3 linked regions of the Rhinolophus ferrumequinum genome follow. The protein of the gene in region 2 binds, or shares a complex with, the protein of the main gene of each other region. Links are inferred from orthologs where the notes say so. Each region holds a gene or a part of one and is shown on either strand. Other genes may lie near its edges.

Region 1 (7,511 bases), on a different chromosome or scaffold from region 2:
CTCCACAATTCCCTTTTCTCCGGCCTCCAGTGAGGTTGGGGTGTGGTCGTTTGCTATCTGTTTTGTCACTGGTGGGGGTGGGGTGGGGACACAAACAATGCGGAGATGTTCTCCAGCTCCCACAGGGCCTTAGCAACCCGATTTCTCCCCGATTGTAAGAACCAGTCACAACCCACTCCACATTACTACACCACAATCCCCCTTTTGGCCTGTTCCTATTGCAATGATTTTTCACTGTGTCCAGTGGCCAAGCTGCCCCTGATGGTGGGGCACAGCCAGTGCTACTCACAGCTCTGGCATGAAGGGTCCCAGACTCTGCATTTAGACACATTTTCCAGATGATTCTTTTGTCCCTTGTAAAACGTATGAAGTGTATAAACTGCAGGCCCTGGACCCTCGGACCTGGCAGAACCCAAGGGTGTGGGGATGGCAAGCAAACTGACATAAACACAGGTCATGGAGGGGACACAAGGACGTGACAGAATCACCCTGGAGCATTCTTCCGCTGCCAAGTCCAAAGCCAAGAAATAAGTTTGTAAACATTTTTATTTGCATGTTGGCTTGTGCCCTCTTTGTAAATTCAAGGAGGCAGTCAATGTGAAGTGTGCAGGAGAAAGGGAGATGAGAAAGGGGAAGAGAGGCATTTCTCCCTGCCCTCGCTCCCTTTTTCAAGCTGAGCACCTGGAGTTGCTTTTGAGGAAATTAACACAACCCCATTGTACAGATTTCCTTCTTTACATTCCTTGGGTTACTAGAAAGACTTTTAAAAATCAATGCATGACAGATAAAATTTTAACATGAAAAGGGGTGCTAGGTAGACAGGTGAGGGGCACTGCCTGGCCTTCACTCGACCTCCCATTTCAGGTGTGGAGGCAGAAAGATCATCTCCGTCCAAGGGCAGGAGAGGGAGGGATGCGTCCTGAGTGGCCAATAAGTTAGTGGGTGGCGGCGGGTGCTCTGGCTTCCCTGCCAGCACCTCACAGCAGGTCCTCTTGTTCGCCCTGCTCTGCTTCTGCTCTGGCCTCGGCCCTCAGCACCCTGAGGCTCCTGGCTTCGGCTGCCCTGGGGACTCTCTTGGGCAGGGTTGGCACCCGGGGAGTGTGCCAAAAGGCTCTCCGGCGCTTGCGAAACCACGAGAAGCGCCCAGGGGTCTGGAACCTCACTGTCTTCACCTGTTTTCGGGCCCTAACTCCTGGGGTGGCTCCTGTGGCCCCCGAGGCAGCTAAGGCTTCAGCTTCCTGGACAGCCGGGGCCTCTGCCCTCTCATTATGTGCAGCCTCTGCCCCCGGGTCAGCTATGGCCTCTGCCCTCTGGTCATCTGCAGCCTCTTCTCTCTGATTACCTGCAGCCTCTGTCCCCTGAACTGCAGATGCTGCTTCCACCGTCCTGTGCCTCCTAAATGAGGCCCAGTTGATCTTGGGCCTCCATCGTCTTGGAGGGGCCTCAGGCTCTGGCCCATCTCCTGCATTCCCCATATTATCCCCCCAGCTGGCACTTCCTGGCACCCCATCTCTCTCCACCCTGGTAGAGGCCTGCTGGGCCTCGCCTACTCCTGGGCTGGACCTCGGGGTCCAACCCTTCACCCTCTGCTTCAGCTTCCCCCAGGAAACCTGGCTAACATACTCTCGCCACCTGTCCGCCTTAGATGGCTGGGGCCCCGGGTTGTCCTCAAACATGGGGACCGGCAGGTTCACGCGGCGGCGGGCCGGCGGCGCACTGGGTTTCTTCTCCCCACGGCGAAGAAAGGCCTCCACCAGTTCCTCGTCATCCTCGCTCTCCAGGTCGCTCCCCAGGAATTTGCTGCCCAGGTAACTTACGGGCATTTTGCGTACCTTCCTGCCACGCCCTGAGCCTTTGTGGCCCTTGTTACTCTTCTCTCTGGAGGTCTCGAAGTCGCTGAACTCGCTATCGCTGGCGTTGCTGCTGTCATAAGTGCCCACAACCAGCCGGGGAGGAGGGGTCACCATCTGCTGGACTCTCCTCCTCACTCGGGGCTCCTTGGGTTTTTTGGGGGGCTGGGGCGGGTGAGGGGTGCTCTTCTCAATGATGCGGGCCACGTCCTCCAGGGTGCGGCCTTCTTCCTCCAAAAATTGGGTCAGCCGCTCCCGAAATTCCGCCTCCTTGGTGGCAGGCTTGGAGATGACCCTCCAGACGCCCCCAGCCAGCCTGACCTCCCGGGGGATGAGCAAATAGTCTACGTCCTCCCCAATCTGCAGCATCCCCACCGTGGAGTCCTCCTCCCTGCGGAACACCTTGCCGATCTTCTTAAAGGTTCCCACAGGCTTCAAGGCTTCCACGAGGACGTCCAAATCCACATCTTTGCAGACGTCGGGGACGCTCCAGAGGATCAGGCAGTCGGGCGACGGGAGGAAGCCCCAGGGGAACCAGCCCCCCACGTGGCTTTTCTCGAGGGTCTTTAAGATCTCCAGGGTGAAATCTGGGGTGGGAGCAACAAGCCCAAACTACACGAAGCCCCTAGTCTTGGGGGTCGAAGTGGAGGTGGGAGGTCCCAGCAGCACTGCCCGGAGAGTCTCACCTCCCCAGCCGAAGATGAGCCAACACCTCCCAATTTCTCTGCTTGCAACAAGTCCTCTCTGGATCAAGGCAGAGTCCCCTCTTAAGGACTGGTGGAAATCAATTGCCAGGATGCTTACGTGAGCCGGGGTGAGGTCAGTCCTGAGGCTCAAAGCCCACAGCAAGCTCCAAAAGTGGTGTCCCAGCTCCAAGTTGGGGCGCACGGGCTGACCCGGGCTCTTCCTGCCCCAGGCACGAGGGACGCGCCTGGAACTTGGGAGAGGACTTCGCAGACAAAGACAGCTCAGCCGCGGCTATTCAATATGGCCGAGGCGCTAGGAGGAGCAGCCCAGCCCCTCCGGAGGGTCTCCCGCCCCTCGGCAGGCTGCCACCCCCGTCCAGGCTGACCTTGACGCGCCTCCCGCCTCCCTGCCCGCGCGCGCGCTGCTGTGGAGCTCCAGGGAGGGAAGTTCCTTCTCGTCCTCCCCCAGGGTGAGGCCCACCTTTCCCCTTCTCATTTTACACTCCCAGACTCGAGAAGACTGACAGCGGGGCTGTCCACTCCTTTTGGGTCGCCCTCACTCCCCTCCCTCACGGGGGTGTGGCCGCGCCCCGGGCCTGGCTGGGGCCACCGCCTCCAAGCTGAAAGCGCGCCGAGGCCCACGTCAGCACCTTCTCCGAATAAGGCAGCAATTCCCAAACCTACCATCCTAAATGTGCGGGTTCCAGCCACGCCCAGAGGTGGGTGTGCTAATGGGGCCGTCCTTTGGAAAGCCACTGACACCGTATAGTACCATTCTAAATTTATGTGACTTCTGGTACCAGCAATTCCTCCCTATATACCCATAAATAGGGGTGGGAAAAGTGGTACCAGGATCTTAATTCACCAGCTGTACCAGTGGGGCTTGGCACACAGTAGGTGCTCAACAAATATTTTTGAGTGAAGTGAATGAATGAACCTAATTGTTCGGCAGGGACTGACTTAATTTTATGGTCTATTCTTACAGTGAAACACTGAGCAGCTATGAAAAAAGGATAGTTAACTTTTATAGAGCACTTCCTATGTGCGTAGGCACCACTGTAAGTGCTTTCTATGAATCAACTCATGAAATCTTCACCATAACATTATGAGACAGGTAATACAATCATTCCCATTTTGTAGCTGAGAAAATAAAAGTCACACAGCAAGGAAATGATTGAATCTGGATTTGAATCTGAAACAGCCTGACCTGGTGTGTGTGTGTGTGTGTGTGTGTGTGTGTGTGTGTGTGTGTGTATACATGTACTCAGCACATGTACAAGCTCTGCCAACCGTAGCTGTTTCTGAGGAGGGGGACTGGGGACTCCAACATGTGGCAGAGATGTGTCCTTTTCACTGTATATCCTTTTGGATTGCATGGCTTTTTGGCAATCCAAAATGTTAATTAAAACAAATGAAATTAAACCAAAGGGCCTCAAACTCGGCCACAGACATAGTGGTTTCCTGGGATTCAGGGGCCAGGATTTGCAAAGCTCCCCAGGTACTACTGAGGCAGCCATGTCAGCACCAATATGCACAATAATAACAATGGCATTAGTAATAATAATTGTTAACTTGCACAAAAGGTTTCCTTGGAACCAGGTACCCTGAATAGCCTGTTGTTATGAATGCTCAAAAGCTATAGGGTAAGGTGCATGCCTTCACTATCATCTTCTTACAAATGGGGACACTGAGTCTGGTCTGAAGTTGCACAGCTGTAAGTAGAGGGGCTGATATTTGAACTTAGGCACTGGAGTAACCATCCAGGCAGGCTCGGAAGACACAGCTGATCTTTATCGCTTGCCTGGATCCACAAAAAACACCTCTTCACTGGGCGGCCTGCTTTCCCTTTGCAGCCTGCAATCCATCCCCAACTGGCAGCTGGAGGGATCTTTTAAAAACGTAAGTCAGATCTATCTGTACTCTTTCTAAAATCCTTACCTAGGAGTAAAATCTAAGTCCTCACCTCAGCCCACGAAGCCCTATCAGTTCTCCCCACGTCCCTCTCTCTATTCCACTCCAACCACACCTGCTGCTTTTTCACTGTTCCTCCAACAATGTTTGCCCCCAACCTCAGGGCCTTTGCACTTGCTGTTCCCTCCACCCAGAATGCTCTGCTCCCACCTTCTCTGGCAATCTCCCTCTGCTCAAATGGCACGTTTTTTAGAGAAGTGATTCTGTCTCCCCCCTCCCCAACCCTCTCCAGGGCCCTATAGCTTAGGAATCCTTAACCATGCCATGGTCCCTTTCCAGCATAAAGTGTTTCAAAGCATAGATTTGCATCCATTGGATTACAAAGGAAACCAATTATAATGAAATACAGCTGTCAAAAGAAAAATTCCAACAGTCAAAAAAAAAAAGTAAAGAAGCCTGTAAAATAATGACTTTAATACAAAGTATAAAAATTGTTAAGACAGGGGACACTAAATCTTCTATTTTTGAGATTTGGACCTCCGGTGTAATTCAAATTAATAAGGGCAATTTAGCTTGAGAAGTTTTGAAAGCTTTCTTTTCTTTGCCTCTTAACGATTCTCTTTTGTTTCTATTTACTTCGGCCCAGTGCAGGCCCTGTGACTTGGGAAGTTTTTCATCTGTATGGGATCCACTCTTCTGGCTCCAACTTAAATCTACATAACGTATGGAAAGGTTGCCATAACCAACTTTACAGCACCTTCCCCCACCCCCAATTACAGACCGAAACAATTTACAGCCTGGTTAGTAAATACAAAACTTGAGACCAAACAAGGACTCAATGCAGTAGTTTGCAGTAGTTTCCAGCTGACGCGACCCTCCTCTTACTTTAATAAATCTATATTTCTATCTGACTTGTGAATTCTTTCACCGCCCGCGAGCGAGGAGATACAACAAAAATGAATACGTGTAATTTTATTTAACTCAAGATATGTGGTTTTATTTAACTCCTGAAGGAACCAGGCAGATGTTTAGAAAAAGAGGAAAGGGGGCGATTAAAGGAAGGGAAGGGAAAGAGGAAGGAAGACGCTTGGGGAATGGAGGGAGGTCAGGGTCTTAGCGAGGCCTTTGCACAATTGTTGGCTCACTCGGTTGGCTTTGCTTTGCTGGATTTTCTGCTCCTCCTCGCCAGCCCCATCCGAGGCCTCTGCCCAAGCCGGGCCTCGCGCCACCCAGCTCCTCCCTTTTGCTCCGTTTCTCGCCCAGCCTCCCAGCGGTCTCCATGGCAACGAGGAGACGCGTTCCAAAGCGCGGGTTGGCTCTGAGAGGGTAGAGTGGGGCGGGCCGGGGAGGGGGGGAAGGGGTGGGGGCAGGGCAGCGCCTCTTTCCCGCTTCTTATCCCTTCCTTAAGTCTGATGCCCCAAGTCACCTTCTCTTAGAATGTGCTTCGTAGAGGCCCAAAGCTGAAAATCCCAAATCTGAGAAGTCAAAATAATGACCTCGAAGTTGAGACATTTGGGCTGTTTCTGTCTTTGGTTGGAAGGAAGGGAGGGTTATCCTAGAAATGAAAACCTCATATGTTCAACATTCTTACAGAAATTGCCAACCTCTGAGCAATTCACTGTGGGTGTTTTAACTTGCCCAGGTCTCTGGCAGGCAAGATCCTTCTCCAGCCACCCCCCTCCCCCCCCACACACACAAAAGGATAATTATAGCTTCCACTTTTATATTTATTTAAAAGAAATGAAAAATCAGAAAATAGGGGGAGAAAACAAAATATGGCCCAAATCTCTCTACCCAGTTTCACTTGGTTGCCGTTAAAAATAACAATAGTAATATTAAAAGTGACACACACACACATGCTAAGAAAATGCTGGAGTTACAGAGAGGTGTAAAATGAAAAGCAACCCAGCCCCAGCCCCAAGCCTCCAGCCTCTCCCCCAAAGTGATCGCAGTTAAATATCTCTGTACTTTTCCAGGGGGAAAAAAATGCTTACTTTAGCGTATGTGTAATTTTAGAATTTACCCCATGGGGGGTTTTTCACATCATCCTAAATTGTTTTCATCACAGCGCGTACCACTGCCTGGTATTTTCTTATTTATTTATTGTCTCACCCTATTAGAACATTAGTCCCATAAAGGCAGAGATAGTTACCTGGTTTGTTCACTACTGAATTCTCAGTATCTAGAACAGTCCTAACAGGTGCTCAAAATATTTGATGAATGAATGAATGATGCTAGATCTATTACTATAAAACTTGCTTTTTTTGCACTTAATAGCATGTCTTGAAGTCTTTCATATCAGTATATGCATATCCATCTCAGTTTTCCATCACATATGCCCACAAGGTGGGAAAGTGATAATACTGATTATTATTCTGTTTTATTGAGCACCCACTTTGTCCCTGGCCCTGTGTGTTTTCTCTTTTAATCCTCAGAACCTCTCCTATGCAAGTGTTATTCCCATTTTCCAGATGAGAAAAACTGAAGCCAAAGAAGGCCATACAGCTAGGAAGTGGCAGAGCTGAGCTCTGACTCACTCAGGTTCCTTAGATTCCAACCGCCACACTCTTTTTTTTTTTAATTTGTCGGGGTGATATTGGTCAACCCCGACGCTCTTAAGCCTCCATTATTTGCCCAGTTGCCTGGCAGATTTGAGGTGGGGAATAAGATTGGTGAGAAATCCCGAAAGACTTCTCTCCCAGATGACACTTGTAACCTTGGCACAGTCACCAGATTTGTCCTCCATCTTGAACGTCCGGAAATCAGGTCCCTGTCTACGATAAACAGGATATAATTTATCCACACCTGTGAACCAGATACCAAAGGGTTAAATGATAGCACATAGTAGGTCCTCAACAAATACAGCAGGAAGCAGCAATGACACCCTCTTTATCCTGTGCCCTGATGCCAGGGCTCAAGTTAGGTAATATCCCCTGAGGGGCATTACTTTAATGTGTTCACTGGTTTGTCATCTGGCATCCCAGGTTCCAAAACAGCCTTTTGTCAGCACGTGGAGAATGTCTGCACATGGAGGGAGCTAGACACACATTTATCAAGTTCAGGA
Region 2 (7,722 bases):
GGGGCACGCCGTTGTTGCTCTGCCGGAACTCGCCCTCGTCCCCGGCACTGATCTCCTCGAAGTCATCGAGCATGCGCACTCGCATGCCAGGCTGCAGCGTATCCCGGACATACAAGGCATAGGTGTTGCCACTTGCGAACTCAGGGCGAGGGCGAAACCGCCTTGACCTCCTGAAGGAGGGCAGGGCCTGGGCGGGTGGCAGCCCTGGGCCTGCATCTGCCGCCTGGGGCTGGAAGATGGAGCAGGAGGACTGAGCCGAGGGCCCTTGTCTGCTTGAGGCCCAGTCCCAGCGCATGGCCTGCACCAGCTCTGAGATCAGGGTGCCCATGGCCATGCTGAACTCCAGCTCCAGCCGACCCCTCTCCCCACTCAGCTCCTCAGCAGCAGAGCTGTTCTGGGCTCCTAGTTCTGCAGCACTGTCATTCAGCTGATCCAGGAGGGAGGTGACATGCAAATAGCGCTTTACCAGGGAGAAGAGCAGCCTTCCTGGGACCTGCAGGACACAACCTTTGGCCAATGTCCATTGTGTCCCAGGTTTAGCCCCTCTCTCCACACCATCCTCTATGGACAAGAGGAAAGATCTGGTCCCCAGATCTTCATAGCCCCACCCCCAATGCCCCCAACAGAATACCTGTGGCAGCTGAATGCCCTCGAAAGACATGGGATGTTCAGAGAGTGTGGCCTGTGCAAACAGAGCCAGCAGAGCACAGCGGCTGTCAAAATCCAGGTGTTTCTCAATGGCCTCTTGCTGGCTCAGTGACAGAAGGATCTGGGTCCGGGTGCCTGTAACCCACACCCCAATCAGTAACTGCTCCCTAATCCCAGGCATCTCTCTTAGATCCCCTACTCTCTCAGTTCAATTATTTGGTCACGACACACTAGGAATGACATGATTTACTTGAAAAGCCAAACCTTACTATCTTTTTCATATAAGTGAACGAATATATATACATATATATGTGTATATATATACACAGTGCAGTAGTGTAAAGTCTAAACTTTTTCTTTGCATAGAAAGTCAATTACAATGAGGTTTTTGGAGACTGAGTCTTTCCTCTTTCTGCAGAGATGACCACACCGACTTTCCCACCTCCTTTTCTTCCAATGCTAAAAAGGCAGCAGAATCATTTACGGACTGATGAGATCAGAGGCTCCTGCTGCAGCAAGGCCTGAGCCCACACCGCCCCTTTCCAGCTCCCCGCCCTCCCCACACTGCTCACCAGCATCATGGGAGGCCAGGGCTTGTATCATCCGGCCTGCACTCCATCGAATCTGATAATCGGGACTACTTAACATATGCATAAGCAAGTCCAGGACCCTTGGGTCTTTGAAGACCCCAGTGAGGGGCTCGATGCTGGCATAGGCGCTGAGCACATGGACAGTGTGAAGCAGAGGAGCCGGAGGGATGGTACCCACACACTCCTCTAGCTGCCGAAGGGCCCTCTGAATCAGGGACTTCACATCAGTTTCCATCTCCCCCAGCACAGATTTGTCCAGGGTCCCAGCTTCCCCTGCAGTCTCCTGGGAAGGCCTGATAACCTGGCCATCCTCGCCCAGCATCTTGTGGCAGTTGGCATAGATCTCATCGTTGGACATCCAGAGCAGGATGTGTTCAGCCTTGCAGTCCACCTGGCTGGAGCCCCCTTCCCCGTCCTCCCCGCGCCTGAGAATGAGCCAGCGGATCTGGTACTCAGGATGCCCATCGTGGCCCACCCGCTGTCGGACCAGCTCATCGGGATAGGCGTGCAAGCCAGGCCCCAGGGGCACTCTGAATTCCCTGTAGCGGAGTTCCCCCACCATCCTGGCACCTAGGACACATGGGGAAAAGAGAACAGGCAAGCTAGAGTGAGAAGGGAGGTCAGAAAATCAAGGACGTCCAGGAGTGGAGAAGCAAATGTGGCACCAGCTATTGGGCTGGGTGGGGTTAAAGCAGGGCCCAGGAGTTGCCTGCTGCAGGCTGGGTGGGGCCAGGCCTAAGCAGAGGAACACTGGGGTGTTTGTTCTGAGAGAACACAAAATTTGGGGGCTAAAAGGAAGGTCCAAGGCCCTGCAGCCTGAAGTGGGTTGGTTTGGAGCAGTGGGAAGGGGACAGTGAGGGCAGAGGAGCCTTGGAGTAACAAGCAAATCCCTGGGATGGGACAGCAGCCCTGGGCAGGGGGTATGAGCAGCCCAGAGCCGGTGGTGTGTTGAGGGGAGCAAAAGAGCGATACCCGGGTGTGTATGGGAAGGGGTACAAGCCCCAATGCATGAAGCGCTGGGGGAAGAGGAGTGTGAGTCTCAGAGGAAAGAGACCCAGAGAAGTGGTAGTGGAGTGAGGGCTCAAGAAGGCGCGATGGCCTGGGAGGGACCGATGGGCTGCAGGGGCTGATGACTGAAAGCACTGGGGCAGCAAGGCCGGCGGGGGCGACGCGAGGCCTGGGACAGGGTGGGTAGGAGACCCGATAGGTGAGGGGCGCGAGGCCTGGTGGACCCGGGTCGCGGACCCAAGAAGTCGGGGTGGGAGGTACGGGAGTGGGGACGCGGCAAGGGTGGGATGGGTGGCTGAACCGGATAAATGAGAATCCCGAGGCACAGTGGAATGCGGGGACGCAAGGTCGGCTGTGGAGCGAGGCTTGGTGGGCTAGTGGGTGGAGGAAAACCCAGGGTAGGAGCAGGGGGCCGCGGCGGGGCTCTGGCCACCTTAGAAGTCGATGGGGGTCCTGGCGCGAGGCCTGTCCTTCGCTGAGCTAGGGACGGAGCGCAGACGATGGCGGCGAAGCTTGCGGAGATTTGGGCCCCGCCTGGGCCCCGGAAGGGGGTCCAGGAGAAGAGGCGGGAGGGGGCGTGCCTCTGCAGCACTGGCAGGCGGGTAGGGGGCAAGACGGGCAGGAGGCGTGGCCCGCAGGGACCAGGCGCCCGGGGGCCGGGCCACTGACAGAGCCAGCGCGCAGGTGGCGGTCGCAGGGGCAGGGGAGGGCGGGGCTGCTCCCAGCCCGCGGCGCCGCCCGCCCAGCTCTAGAGGCTCCGATGCCGGTCCAGAGCCGCGGCTCTTTTCCGCCGGACCCAGCGGAAAGCTAGGGGCCCTGGGGGGAGCACCGGGGCGGAGCCGCGGGTGCCACCTCGGCGATGCGCGGCACCTCCTCCGCGCCTCCCTTTCCTCTTCCTTTTCGTCCTCCCTCCTGCCACCGGAAGTGCTTTCCCTGTTTCCCAAGTCAGAACTGGAAAAGAGTTTGGAGGTCATGTATTCCACCCTCCTCCATTACTTATAAAAGAACCGAGAGAAGGTGGGCAGCGGGAAATGGGGGGGGGGGTTTTGCAGCCCTAGTCTTGGTCCCAATTTGCCCTTTCCTTTTTTCCTAACCCCACATTTGTTTGCTCCTGTTTCCCCGGATCCAGTATGTACTGTCTCCCCTCCCCAAAAAACAGTAACAGATAAAAATGGGGGGTCATTTTATTAGTCAGTTTTATCAGCGTTGGGCAGCAGCTGAGGGCAGCTTCACGTAACTCTTCATGGGGGGCAGGGGCCGAATCTTTCGGCCAGCCCAACCCCCCTTGCGTTGCCATAACCCGCTGGAAGGCCTCTTGCCCAGCCAGCGGTTGCGCCCAGCCTTGCCGATGACCCGTTTGTTGTGCTCAACGTTGGATACGCGGCCGACTGTTGCTACACACGTTTCCAGCACCTGACAGAGAAAGCAGATGGAGGAGAATGCACCGTTGGGGGAAGAGCCTGACAATATTGAGGGCAGGCTCTTGGGAGGGTTCTTACAGTCAATGAGAGAAGGGAGAGGGCAGGAGAAAAGCACAACATAATCGAAGCCGAAGTCAGGGCCTACAAGAGTTGAAAATGAAAGACACCGTTTCCTACTCTGTTATGGTGCCAGCCTGATGAGGCATGCCTTGTGGCGCAGCAGGAAAGGACAGACCCAGCCTGGGGGCAGTTCCTAATACAAAACACCTGGGAGCTATCCCAGCCAGCCATGAAAGGTACATTCCGAAAATTCCTCCGTCCCACTTGTACCTTCCACCCCCCACACACACACCTGCATCTGCCTCTTGGAGGGCAGCTGGATGATGGCTGTCCCATTCACCTTCCGTAGCAGTACACCACATGTCCCTGGGGAAGGGAGAAGCTGCAGCTTTGCCATCCACAACAAAGGAGGAGGTGGGGAGCAGATTTACAGGAGGCCACACCCCACATACTACCCTTGCTTTGCCCTTTAGTAGCAGATACATTGAAGCGGGATACATGCAATGTTTTAGGTCAAAACACAAGCTCCTCTTCATTCTCATTTTCCTTGTTTTTTGTTTTTTTTTCCCTTTTTCTCTGCCACTGGACCAGATGTGGGCCCATGGGTTCAGAGAACTGTGACCTCAGGTAACCTCTAGCCTTCCAAGTTGTAAGACTCAAAGCAGCTCCTTTCCTCCTACCTGCCGCACGAATATACTGGGCCCCACGGCCTGGCTCACTCTCCACGTTGTTGATGAGGGTCCCCACGGGCAAGGCCCCAAGAGGATGTGCATCCCCTTCCCGAGGAGCAACTAAAAGACAGAATTTTATCAGCACCAGAACACCTGCAGTCTCCCAGCCCACACACATGTGGCGGCCATCTCTCACCTGCCATTCGGCCTATGTGGTCAGAGTTCAGGATTATATCTCCAGCCTGCATGTTTTCTGTGGCAATGATCCAGCGTTTCCGGCTGCCCCCAGCAACCAGAGCTATGTCTGCTGACCTGTTCAGGGTGATAGACAGGTGAACAGACAATCTAAGGCAGCCCCACATCTTTGGAAAAGCTACAAAGCAATCATTCAGCCATGCCATCATCATCCCACACCCCACACTTGCCTACAGGGATCATAGCGGACAACGATGACCTTCTCCTCAAAGGGTCCTGGCTTGGTTTCCTGCTCAGGCCGGAACCGAAGAAAGTCAATCATGCGATAACGTTGCTTGTGGCCCCCGCCAATACCATGCACCTGGATTCGGCCTGTGGTCAGGACAGTGAGGGTACATGATCCAGGTCAGCCGAACAGGCCTGTCCTGGGTAGAGAGCAGTTTCCCAACATTATGACACAAGCAGAAAATGATAAAATTTGCTAGCACAATGGGGTAAACGGGGATGGGGAAACACTTACATGGACCTTGATAAAAACATAATTGTATGATTATTGAAACAGCGTTAGATTTCCAGATAAATTCTCTACAAATTACTGAATTCAGTAAGTTTACTGAGGGCCGTGTAAATAGTGCTCAATTTCAACTATTAAAAATTTTTGAAGGATAGGAAGAAAAACGTTGGGGCGGCCAGTTAGCTCAGTTGCTTAGAGTGCAGTGCTTTTAACAAGGTTGCCAGTTCGATCCCCACATGGGCCACTGTGAGCTGTGCCCTCCACAATGAGACTGAAACAACTATTTGACTTAGAGCTGATGGGTCCTGGAAAAACACACTTACATAAAAGTTAAAAAAAAAAAAATGTCATGAAACTTACTGTGTATGTCCAGTTTTCTCCAATTCCTAGATTGTCTTTAGGAGAACAGATCACTTGTCTGTTGCTTTGTATTCTACTCTCTCGCACTTACACACACACTACATGCAGAAGGAGCATTTTGATTACATTCCTCTGCCTGTATCAATATCCAGGCCTAGGGTCCTACCATGTTTTTTCCTTTCACTGCTTAAATCCTCTTGCCCTTGCTCCTACCTGTGTGGTCTCGGCCCCCAGACTTCCTCATCTTCACTGGTGTAATGGTGTACTTGGTACGACTCTTCCAGGACACAAACTTGGCACTAAGGGCCACAGAGGTAAGGATGGGGCGGCAGGGGAGCAATATCGAGGCAGAGGGCAGCTGAAGGAGGACATTGTTTGTCACCTAGAGATAAACAGAAATCTTTCATGTGAAAGCTAATTGGAGGAGAAGCATCAGAGAGCCAAGGGAGAGGGCAGAGACCATAGTTGGGTTGTAGCCTACTCACTTCCTCTGAAGCGTTCCAGACCAGCTGTCCAAAAACTCCACCCTTCACAGCTTGCACAAATACCAGTGTGGAATGTTTATCCGGATATGTATGTGTTGATTACCTCTTCTCATTTGATCCTTTCACCTCTGATGTATTTCTTCAATGGGATGTTCTCCCCTGGTGCCATCTACTAAATCTGTCTCAAACCTCCCATTCTCCTGGAAACTTCTCGTTCCTTAAAGAACTTCCTTTTCCAAAGCTGGTAACTTCCACACATCCAAGTACCACCATCAGCACTAAAGCCTTTTGCCCATTTGCATTGTGTTTCTGGGAGTTTTTCAGATATGAAGGGAGGGAAGGAATCATTTCTATCTTGTTCCCTGCTGTATTCCCAGAATTTCAGAGTAGGTTTTGAATTTTAAGTGTGCTTCTGCCAAACTTTTTATCAGCCTGAGAGATCCAGAGAAGCAAGACTTACAATTTCTTTTCTGTGACTCACCAATCACCCACTAGGGATCTTGTGATACGTTCACTTCAGGCTCCTCCTATTCTTGGTATCTTGCCCTGCATTCTCTAATCTCAGCATCCCTAATGGTTATAATGGTTAAGAGCTCCAGCTTTGAAGCCAGGCTGCCTAGCTCCAATAGTTGTTGTGTGACCTTGGACTGCTTATCAGTTTTCTCATATGCAGAAGGGAATGATAATAACTACCTTATAGAGTGGTTGAAAAGAGTTCAGTTGTTTAAAACCTCTATTACTTATGCCTGCCTTATGATAGGTACCCAATAAATGTCAATTATTACTGAAACCTGTACAACCGGTGGTCTGTAAAGCACTTTCACGTCCAGTATCTAATCTGCGGGATCCAGCAGCCCTGTGAAAGCAACACTCACAGGGAAAGCTGAGGTTAAGAGTGACTATCCAAGGTCACGGGCCAGCATGACTCCTGACCAGACTCGCATACCCGCCTATCTGCAGTTGTCCCCTCTCCGGCGGCCCGCACGGAAGCAACCTCATTCCCGGGTAAAGTGGATTACCTGGGCACCCGGGAGCAGGCTTGGGCCGGGGGCAGCGGCGGCAGGGGGCGCCAGGCTCAGGGAGGCCAGAGAGCGGGTCAGTGCCCGCAGGGCCATGGGGGTGAGTGGTTACGCCGTGTTCAACACGCCACCATTGCCTTTAGGTAAGCAGCCTGACGCCCCAGGATGACGCTAACGACTCCTGGTTCCGTCGCTCCCATCTGACGTAAAAGCAGGCGGGAGGAGAACCCGAGAGCAAGCTGGATACACACCTCCTTCCCTCCCTGCGCGTTGTCAGAGCCAATCCTTCGGCGGCTCTTAGGTCGCGTGACTGGGGCACAGGCCCCGCCTCTTGGAGCCGTCAAAACAATTGCCTCGAGCGGAGGCCATGATGGATTTAAAGGGGCAGTACCGGCAGGGCGGCAGCCAGACCGACAGACGACGGGTGAGTCTTGAGAGTTCCTCTGAGGCTGAGGGTTGACGTCCCGCTACCTCTTATTCCCGCAATCTCAGACAGATGAACATACCCCTCTGACCAACCTCACACAACTCCAGACTCAAAAACTCCACCCCCCGCGATTCTTCCCGCCCCTCGGCGTCCAGACAGACAGACAGTCGCCTGCCCCGCCCCCTGCGCTACCAACTGATTCAGTGACCTCCGGATCGTCGGGCCATTGGGTCCTCGCCGGTGACGCCGACCTCGGTCGTCCACCTGTGCTTTTCCCCGTCGTCCCCGCCCATCTCACTCTATCCTCTCCCTGGGCCCCAAGGC
Region 3 (8,027 bases), on a different chromosome or scaffold from region 2:
GGGTCCTAGGTGGCCCCAGCAGGAAGAAGGAGAATCCTAAGCCTGGTAGGAGGATTAAAGATCCCAGGGAAAGGCCCCACTCGGGCAGGGAGGACCTGACAAGGGAAGGAAGCCACAGGACAGAGCGGCATTCGGGCAGGCTTGAGGGAAACATCCATTCCCAGCACTGGCCGACCCCGCAGCCCTCTCCCCAGACTACCATCTGAGGGGCTGCCACACTGGGTCTAATGAAGGTGCTGGCAGAGACTTGGAACTGTGAGAGGCAAGTCCCCCTCCAGAGCCGCAGAAGCCTCCTTGGGGATTTAGCATCAACGGAGACTGGGGCTACGGCATGGACGTGGCCATGGGCTCTTGTGCTGCAGGGAACAGTAGCTCACTCAGCTCAGCTCAGGCAAGGGAAGGTGTGAGCCTATAGGATGCCCAGATGGGATTCTCTCCCCTCCACATCTCCTTCCTGGGGAGGTGCTTACCTGCCCACCCCATGAGCTGGGTTAGTAGGAGGGAGTCTTTGATGAGTCACTCTGTTAGCAGAAATACACACTGCAGTGGTGCAGTCAGTATCAGAAAACGCTCTTGAATTTCCATCTGAGGGACCTAAACATCCCCAACCTTCCGCGTCACACCTACCTGAGAGCCAGGACCTGGGGCAGGACAGCAGGATCACACGACTGAGGGAGAAGGAGGAGAGTGAAAAAAGGAGGAAGGAAGGCTCAGGAAGCGGGGCTCCCAATGGCCAATCAAGGCAGGCAGAATGGACTGATAGGAGACCCAACGGGAAAAGGTTCCTTGCACCCTGCCGTGCACTCCGCGTGTACACAAAGTGTGGACACAGATTCACCCAAGAGCACACTTTTTTCGCCAGTAGGCTCTGCCTTTCCATGCTTCCAACGTTAAGGACTGAGTCAAGGGGTTATCTAAAGACACACAGGGCACATCAAAGGAGCCAAAGACTTCAAGAACCCAGATTGCAGCACAACCAGGCTTCAGGAAGGGCTACATGATAGGTTTGAGGGAGTCCCAGGCCCTCAGCAAATTAAAATCCTCAGGTCTTCGTTCTTCTGTCTCATCTCTGCAGTTGTCAACTTTCAGATACTGCCAACTCACACCATCTCTCCTTTACATGCCACCCAAGTTCCTGAGACACCCAAGATCTGATCAGCTCTGAACATCTGTCTCAGTGGGACCCTAAGCCATGATCTCTGGCCGGTCTAAGAATCACCTGACCTTGAGCTAGGTATCCATCAGCTAAGGCATAGAATGGCAGGGGAGGGGCTTCTGTGTAGGCACTATAAGTACAGCAGTTGCCTTTAGGTGTAGCAGGGCAGGCACCCTGATTGACATATCAGGTCCAGCTGGCATGAGGGCCAGTTCTGTCTCCAGAGTGGCTGTCAGGAGCTAGCAGCACCTTTGCGTCACCAAGCATTGTAGCTTTCCACCAGATATGCATCCAATTCCAGCTCTTTTATTTATTTTTTATTTTTTAAAATAGTGAGTCCAGTTTGTTTTTGTCTTCTTTTGCTTTTAATTTTATTGGGGAATATTGGGGAACAGCGTGTTTCTCCAGGGCCCACCAGCTCCAAGTCGTTGTCCTTCAATCTAGTTGTGGAGGGCGCAGCCCACCAGCCCATGTGGGAATCGAACCAGCAACTCTGTTGTTCAGAGCTCGCGCTCTAACCAGTTGAGCCATCCGGCTGCCCCCTCCAGCTATATCTCAAACCCCAGATCTCTGAGGTCAAGTGAGGCTGAGTGCCCAAAGATTCCGCAGTCCCATGCTCCTGGGGCCAGGTCCTCCCCTCCACCACCCACCACCGCCATATCAGAGAAGCCGAGGACGCATGCCAAGTCATATGCACTGGGTTGTTTATTGTCACACTGCTTATGGGACAGGGGTAAGAGGGGGAGGGGAGCCCTCAGACAGACAAGTGGAAGAAGGGGGGAAATGGGAAACATCTATTTTCCAAATTCTGTTCTTCCTCCCAGCATGTGCTGGTAGGGGCTCGGCCACCAGCAGGACTCCCTTAGATGCAAGCACAGTGCTGCGTGAGAAGGTTGGGCACCGTCTCATACTTGAAAGAGTAGCCTCCATCCGAGGTGGTGCGGACACGGAGGGACCTCATGGTTCCCGGGAGAGCAGCACAGCAGGGCTGGGCCCCTGGCACCAGAGAAAGGAGCTGGACAGGGGTAGGGGGAACCCCAGGGAGCGGGAGAGGCCCGTCTGGTTGGGTGGGTGGCCCACAGCCACCGTGACAATAGTGGAAGATGAAACTGGGAGGGTGCACGATCCACTGTTCCCAGCCCAGCTCCTGGAAGGAGATGTTGAGGGCCGCCCGGTGGCAGTGGGCATGGGCAGCGGGCTCCTCTGGAGGCCTCTGCAGCAGGCGCAGCGCGGCGGGAGACCAAGGCCCGGGCAGCGGGGGAGCCGAGCGTCGGGCTCGTTCCCTTCTGCTAGGCGGCTTAGCCCGTGTGTGGGCCACCAGGAAGGGTGTGGTCTCAGGCTTGGCTGAGCAGGAACAGAGAGGACAGCGCAGCAGTAGTACCAGGACAGGTTGGGTCAGCAGAGGGAGGGCAGAGGCAGCCAGGTTTAGCACAGCCCAGCTAGGAGGTGCCTGGCCCAATGACACAGGCACCGCTATGGGACCCCCAGATGACAGAGCCAGAAGGTCTAGCAGGGGCCCAGAGCTATTGGAGGCTGCTGTGCCCTGCCTGTCCAGTCCCATGTGAAACCATAGCTGGGCGGAAGTCACCTGGCGACTGCGTGTGTGATGGGATGGCCGGAACATGTATGTGAAGAGGCCCTCCTCAGCCTCCTGGGCCAGCTCTCCCGCCGCTGGCTGGTCCTCACAGCTGGCACCTGCAGGAGACAGAGGGAAGGGAGAGGGCAGCCGTGACTGGAGAGACGCAGCTGCCATTCACGAGCCTGCCAAAACTCCACTGAGTGCTCTGCCAGACTCAGGACTCCCCCCAGTCTTGGGAGAACTGACAGAGGCTCCTCTTTTGTTATTTCATCACAAAAGGACTTAAAAAGTACAAGACATTGCCAACTTCTCTCGAGTGGTTTTACCAATTAATATACCCATCAGCAATGTGTAAGAAGCCCTGACACTCTATCTTCACCAACACTTGGAATCGTTAGTTATACTTAAATTTTTTGTTCATCTTAAAGTGTGAAAGGGCACCTTGAATGGCACGTAGGCAGGCATTTGTAGGATTACTCTTCATATCTTTTTACATGTCAGTAATAGTATATTACAAAATTTTTAAATAACTCCACTTTAATAAGATAGGTTAACACCAAAAAGGAGGAGGAGAAAAGACATAGCTGAGAATAAAGGACAGTGCTTTCTAAGAAAGTGCAGTTGGCATCCTTACCCTGACAGGTATACAAACTACACTAAACAATCATGGATCAGCACCAGGTGAAGGTCTGGCAATTGGGGCTATACTGCTACATGGATTATCTCATGGATAACTTCACAACGAGCGACCCATTTTGTAGATAAGGAAACTGAGGGTTAGAAAGGTGAAGTGACATTGAACTACGAAGTGTCCATGCCGGGATTCCACCTGATCCCAAAGCCACACTTACTTACTGTGCAGCAGGGGGACTGAAGCACAGGGAGGCAGGGGTCCTCTCTAAGAGAAAGGTGGGCCAGATTACAAGAAAGTCCAGCCAGAGGAGGCCTTTTCTCATTGAGTCAGTGGAACATGGGGAGGTGAGAAAGGAACTCAAGAGAAGGTAGACTAGTTTCCCAGAAAAGTTTCCCAACAAATCTCTCTCCTGCATCTCTGTTATTTCTCAAGTCTCAGCTACTTGGGGCTAAAGAAAGGACCAGAACAGGGAGCAGGGGCAGAAATAGGAGGAAAGTGGCAGGAAGAGACCACGCCCAGATATCGCTGACTCCAGAGACCCTTAGCCTCCCAGGAGAATATCTCCCAGCTACCTCATATGAGCCATGCACTCTAAGTGCAGCATCTCCCGAAATCCTGAGCGATAGACATTATTGCCCATTTTATAGATGAGGAAACAGCGGCTCAGGTAGGTTCAGTCATTGGCCCATTGTTGCAAAGCCAGTTGAATAGCAGGTCTGGGATTCAAACCCAGATCTGCCTGCCTTCCAAGCCCATGCTGTCCCACACTGCTTCTCAAAGTCACCAGTTCCCCATCCTCATTACCTGTGGCCGGGAAAAGGATGGCCTGGGAGACATCCTCCTCCTCGGGCTCAGAGCCCCTGCGCATGGAGCCCCCCACAGCATGTCTTCGGGGCAAACGCCTGACTCCAAGATCTCTACTTTCACGAGTCACTGCTGGGGACCCCAAGGCATCCAGGAACAGGGCCCTCACTTTTGCCAAGACAAGTTCCCGGTCCACCTCCGGCCCATGGCAGCTATGCCCCCGCTGTGGGGCCACCAGCAAGAGGAGTAGCAGTGGCAGCCGGGGCAACATAGCTCACCTGCCCCTGACAATGGCGAACCCACAGCCTGCCCTGTGCCCCTCTGTCAGGGTCTGCCCGGGACCTCCCCCACTCTCCCTTCCCCATCCCACCACCTGCCTTCTTCTACCCTTCTCATCCCAGTCTTCCCCAGGCCTTCCCACACCCTGCAGTCCAAGTTGCCCCTGCCGTGGCATTGAGGCCTCCTATCTCTGACGCAGATGTCTGTGACCCTGAGCCTTATCTCCCACTCCCGCCAGGAATGTGGGGGAGGGGGCTGGTGAGGGTTTTTCACCCCAAGTGACCTCTCACATACAACCCCTTCCCCCTACACACACACACACACACACACACACACACACACACAGTCACATCCCAGCACCCAGCACAGAAGTGACATCAGGTGGAACAGGAGGCTGGGAGCTGTGGCCTGCCAGCTCTTAAAAGTGTTATTTGCTAAGGTGACAAAACACACCAGCCCCTCAGACCTTCTGGGGCCCCTTTCAGACAAACAGCTGCTGGGCCAGTCATGGGGGGAAGGGCTGAGGCTGGAGCTAGAACTGGGGTTAGTGCGGGGGGCAGGTGGTCCCGCCTGCTCTAAACTTAGCCTGGAGGAGCCAGTCTGGGCTCTTGTCTTCCAGCTGTGTCATCAGAGAATATTTTTGGGATTGGCAGCTGCAGGCGCCTCTGCCACTCAGGCCCTAGCCTGGCGGGAGGTTGGGGACCTGGCGGCTGGAGGTGGTAGGGAGGAGGGGAAAGAGGCCCAGGCTGTGGGAGGGGGCTGGGAAGAGAGGCTTTCAGGAGCAGGAAGCCAGGCCGCGGGCAGAGGAGGCCGCGGGGCCCCTCGCTGTAAAGGCAAACAGGAAGGACTGCCCCCTGAGCTCTGGGCTCCGGGCCCAGGAATCGCCGCCGCCGCCGCAGAGCTGCCCCTCCGGGTCGACGGTAAGGAGGCGACCCGGGAGCGGGCAGCCAGAGGGAGAGCTCCCCGGATCCCCAGGCCGGGTCCCCAGACGCGCCCCGCCTCCCGGGCTCCAGGCCTCCGCGCGCCCGCCGCCCGCCCTTCCCCGGCGCAGCTGCGGGTCGTTTGCGGCCGCCGCGATGAAGGCGGGATCGGGCGATCAGGGGAGCCCCCCGTGCTTCCTGCGCTTCCCGCGGCCCGTGCGGGTGGTAAGTGGCGCGGAAGCTGAGCTCAAGTGCGTCGTCCTGGGGGAACCACCGCCCATTGTCGTGTGGGAGAAGGGCGGGCAGCAGCTGGCGGCCTCGGAGCGCCTCAGCTTCCCGGCCGACGGCGCCGAGCACTGCCTGCTGCTGAGCGTCGCGCTGCCCACCGACGCGGGGGTCTACGTGTGCCGCGCCCGCAACGCGGCGGGGGAGGCCTACGCTGCGGCCGCCGTCACCGTGCTGGAGCCGCCGGCCCCCGAGCCGGAGCCCCAGCCCGCCGAGCGCCCGCTGCCGCCGCCCGGGACTGGGGAGGGCGCCCCGGTGTTCCTCTCGGGGCCCCGGTCGCAGTGGGTGTTGCGGGGAGCGGAGGTGATGCTGACGTGCCAGGTGGGGGGCCTCCCCGTGCCCACGCTGTACTGGGAGAAGGATGGGATGGCGCTGGACGAAGTGTGGGACAGCAGCCACTTCGCGCTGGAGCCGGGCCGCGCCGAGGACGGCAGGGGCGCGAGCCTGGCTCTACGCATCCTGGCGGCGCGGCTGCCCGACTCTGGCGTCTACGTGTGCCACGCCCGCAATGCCCACGGCCACGCGCAGGCGGGCGCGCTGCTCCAGGTGCAGCAGCCTCCCGAGAGCCCGCCCCCGGACCCCGATGAGGCCCCCAAGCCTGTGGTGGAGCCGGTCAAGTGCGCGCCCAAGACCTTTTGGGTGAACGAGGGCAAGCACGCCAAGTTCCGCTGCTACGTGATGGGCAAGCCGGAGCCTGAGATCGAATGGCACTGGGAGGGCCGCCCTCTGCTCCCCGACCGCCGCCGTCTGATGTACCGCGACCGCGACGGCGGCTTCGTGCTTAAGGTGCTCTACTGCCAGGCCAAGGACCGCGGGCTCTACGTGTGCGCCGCGCGCAACTCGGCGGGCCAGACGCTCAGCGCTGTGCAGCTGCACGTCAAAGGTACGGCGGCACCTCCTCCCAAGCCCTCCTAACTCCAGCCCCCTTCGGTGCCCAGTGCTGCCCTAAAGACGTTTTGGGGAGGGGAAGCGGAGTACCAAAATCCCATTTCCTGCCTGCCTCCCGCCCCCAGGGATTCGGATTTAGTAAGTCTCCACGGTACCCAGGAGCTTCTTAGCAAACTCCCCAAGTGATTCTGAGGCTCATGGTGGAAACCTCCCTTTGATTAAAGGCTTTAAGAAGTGATTGATGGACAAACCGAGAAGAGCCTAGAACTCTTCTAGTCCAGTGGTTTTCAACCTTTGTTATTTTACTTCCCCTCCCCCAATAGAAATCCCATCTGTGCCCCCAATATATAAGAAAGAGAAAAGGATCATTTTATGGCAGTAAATTTCTAAGTCCAGATTTATAACGTGTACTTAGAAAGCCAATCAATGAGAACAAGGAGGCTGTTTTATTGAATATACACATTTTAAGTGAAGGCTGCGTTCATCACCTGGTCTGTGGGAAGGCCTGGCTGCAAGTAGTCACATTGAGAAACTCTTGATTCATAGTAAAGGTAAATTTGAGGGATAAAAACTGCTCTGTGAATTTTGACTATTCTTCCATTAGGCTGCTCTCCCCAGCTTTGCAAGAAGAAGGTGAAGGAGAAGAAATTTATATTTCAAAGTTGAGTCACCTCAACAATATCTAATAAATGCTCATAAACAGAAAACAGGGGAGAGCACCCCAAACTCATCCTGGAGGATAAAGCTCTCCATAATAGGAATTCATCACAACCTGCAGGATTATATCTTTCGTAGTTATTGCCCAACGTTTTCCCGCAGAGGAAAAAAAGTTGGCAGCTCTCCTGAGCCCTGCCTGGCAAGCATTCAAGCATGTGGCACCTGTGCCATGGTGGTGGCCTCATGGGTATGGTGACATGCATACACTGGCCAGGCAGGCTGAACTCTTAACTCCATCAAGAGGGGAAAAAAGCCCAGTGGCAAGGCAGACCTTCCCGGAGCTGCACAACAAACGCACTTCTCAGCAGCCCAGGTGAACCTACTGGTCGTTTCCAGCATCATGCTTTTTTTTTTTTTTTTTTTTTTTTTTTCAAAAAATAAATGCTTAAAGTACTTTAAAGAGAAAATGCAACTCAGAACCTTGCAGAATTTGTGCAGTGCCTCTGAGGGACCACAGGGAGCATTTTGAAAATCACTGATGTGGTCCAAGGCCTTTCTACCCCTTTCCCCATTTTACAGGTATGGAAACTGAGGCCCAAGATCACTAAAATGGCCTTGCTGGAGGTGATGTGGCTAGTGAGTGTCAGGGTCAGATGAGAATTTAGACCATCTGATGTTCCTTTCTGGTGGTTTTTGTTTTTCTATGATTCCACAATGTCTTCGTGCGCCAGGAGAAAAGCAAACGGCCTGAGCTAATGTGGGTGTAGGCAGTTGATGCTAGGAGGAGTCTTCCTAGTCTGGCCCTCTCCAGAGCCTTCTCTGGTC

The links. Proteins that work in one complex are often made in the same cells at the same time.
Region 1: CUL7 (region 2) and CCDC8 share a complex: the UniProt entries of both Homo sapiens proteins name them as parts of the 3M complex. The link is inferred for Rhinolophus ferrumequinum from reciprocal best matches to the Homo sapiens genes CUL7 and CCDC8.
Region 3: CUL7 (region 2) and OBSL1 share a complex: the UniProt entries of both Homo sapiens proteins name them as parts of the 3M complex. The link is inferred for Rhinolophus ferrumequinum from reciprocal best matches to the Homo sapiens genes CUL7 and OBSL1.

The regions. Positions count from the first base shown.
Region 1 is NC_046298.1:42,671,294-42,678,804, forward strand, and holds CCDC8 (coiled-coil domain-containing protein 8), read right to left. Parts: upstream 3,036-7,511; 5' UTR 2,220-3,035; coding exon 978-2,219; 3' UTR 529-977; downstream 1-528. UniProt on the Homo sapiens protein: Core component of the 3M complex, a complex required to regulate microtubule dynamics and genome integrity. It is unclear how the 3M complex regulates microtubules, it could act by controlling the level of a microtubule stabilizer.
Region 2 is NC_046286.1:12,502,955-12,510,676, forward strand, and holds the start of CUL7 (cullin-7), read right to left. Parts: upstream 3,020-7,722; 5' UTR 2,680-3,019; intron 1,809-2,679; 5' UTR 1,801-1,808; coding exon 1,221-1,800; intron 784-1,220; coding exon 632-783; intron 494-631; coding exon 1-493. Other genes in the region: MRPL2 (39S ribosomal protein L2, mitochondrial), read right to left, coding at 3,447-3,659, 4,020-4,093, 4,408-4,518, 4,595-4,710, 4,824-4,965, 5,681-5,849, 6,972-7,067. UniProt on the Homo sapiens protein: Core component of the 3M and Cul7-RING(FBXW8) complexes, which mediate the ubiquitination and subsequent proteasomal degradation of target proteins. Core component of the 3M complex, a complex required to regulate microtubule dynamics and genome integrity.
Region 3 is NC_046291.1:15,953,883-15,961,909, forward strand, and holds the start of OBSL1 (obscurin-like protein 1), read left to right. Parts: upstream 1-4,992; 5' UTR 4,993-5,528; coding exon 5,529-6,540; intron 6,541-8,027. Other genes in the region: INHA (inhibin alpha chain), read right to left, coding at 2,019-2,851, 4,174-4,444. UniProt on the Homo sapiens protein: Core component of the 3M complex, a complex required to regulate microtubule dynamics and genome integrity. It is unclear how the 3M complex regulates microtubules, it could act by controlling the level of a microtubule stabilizer.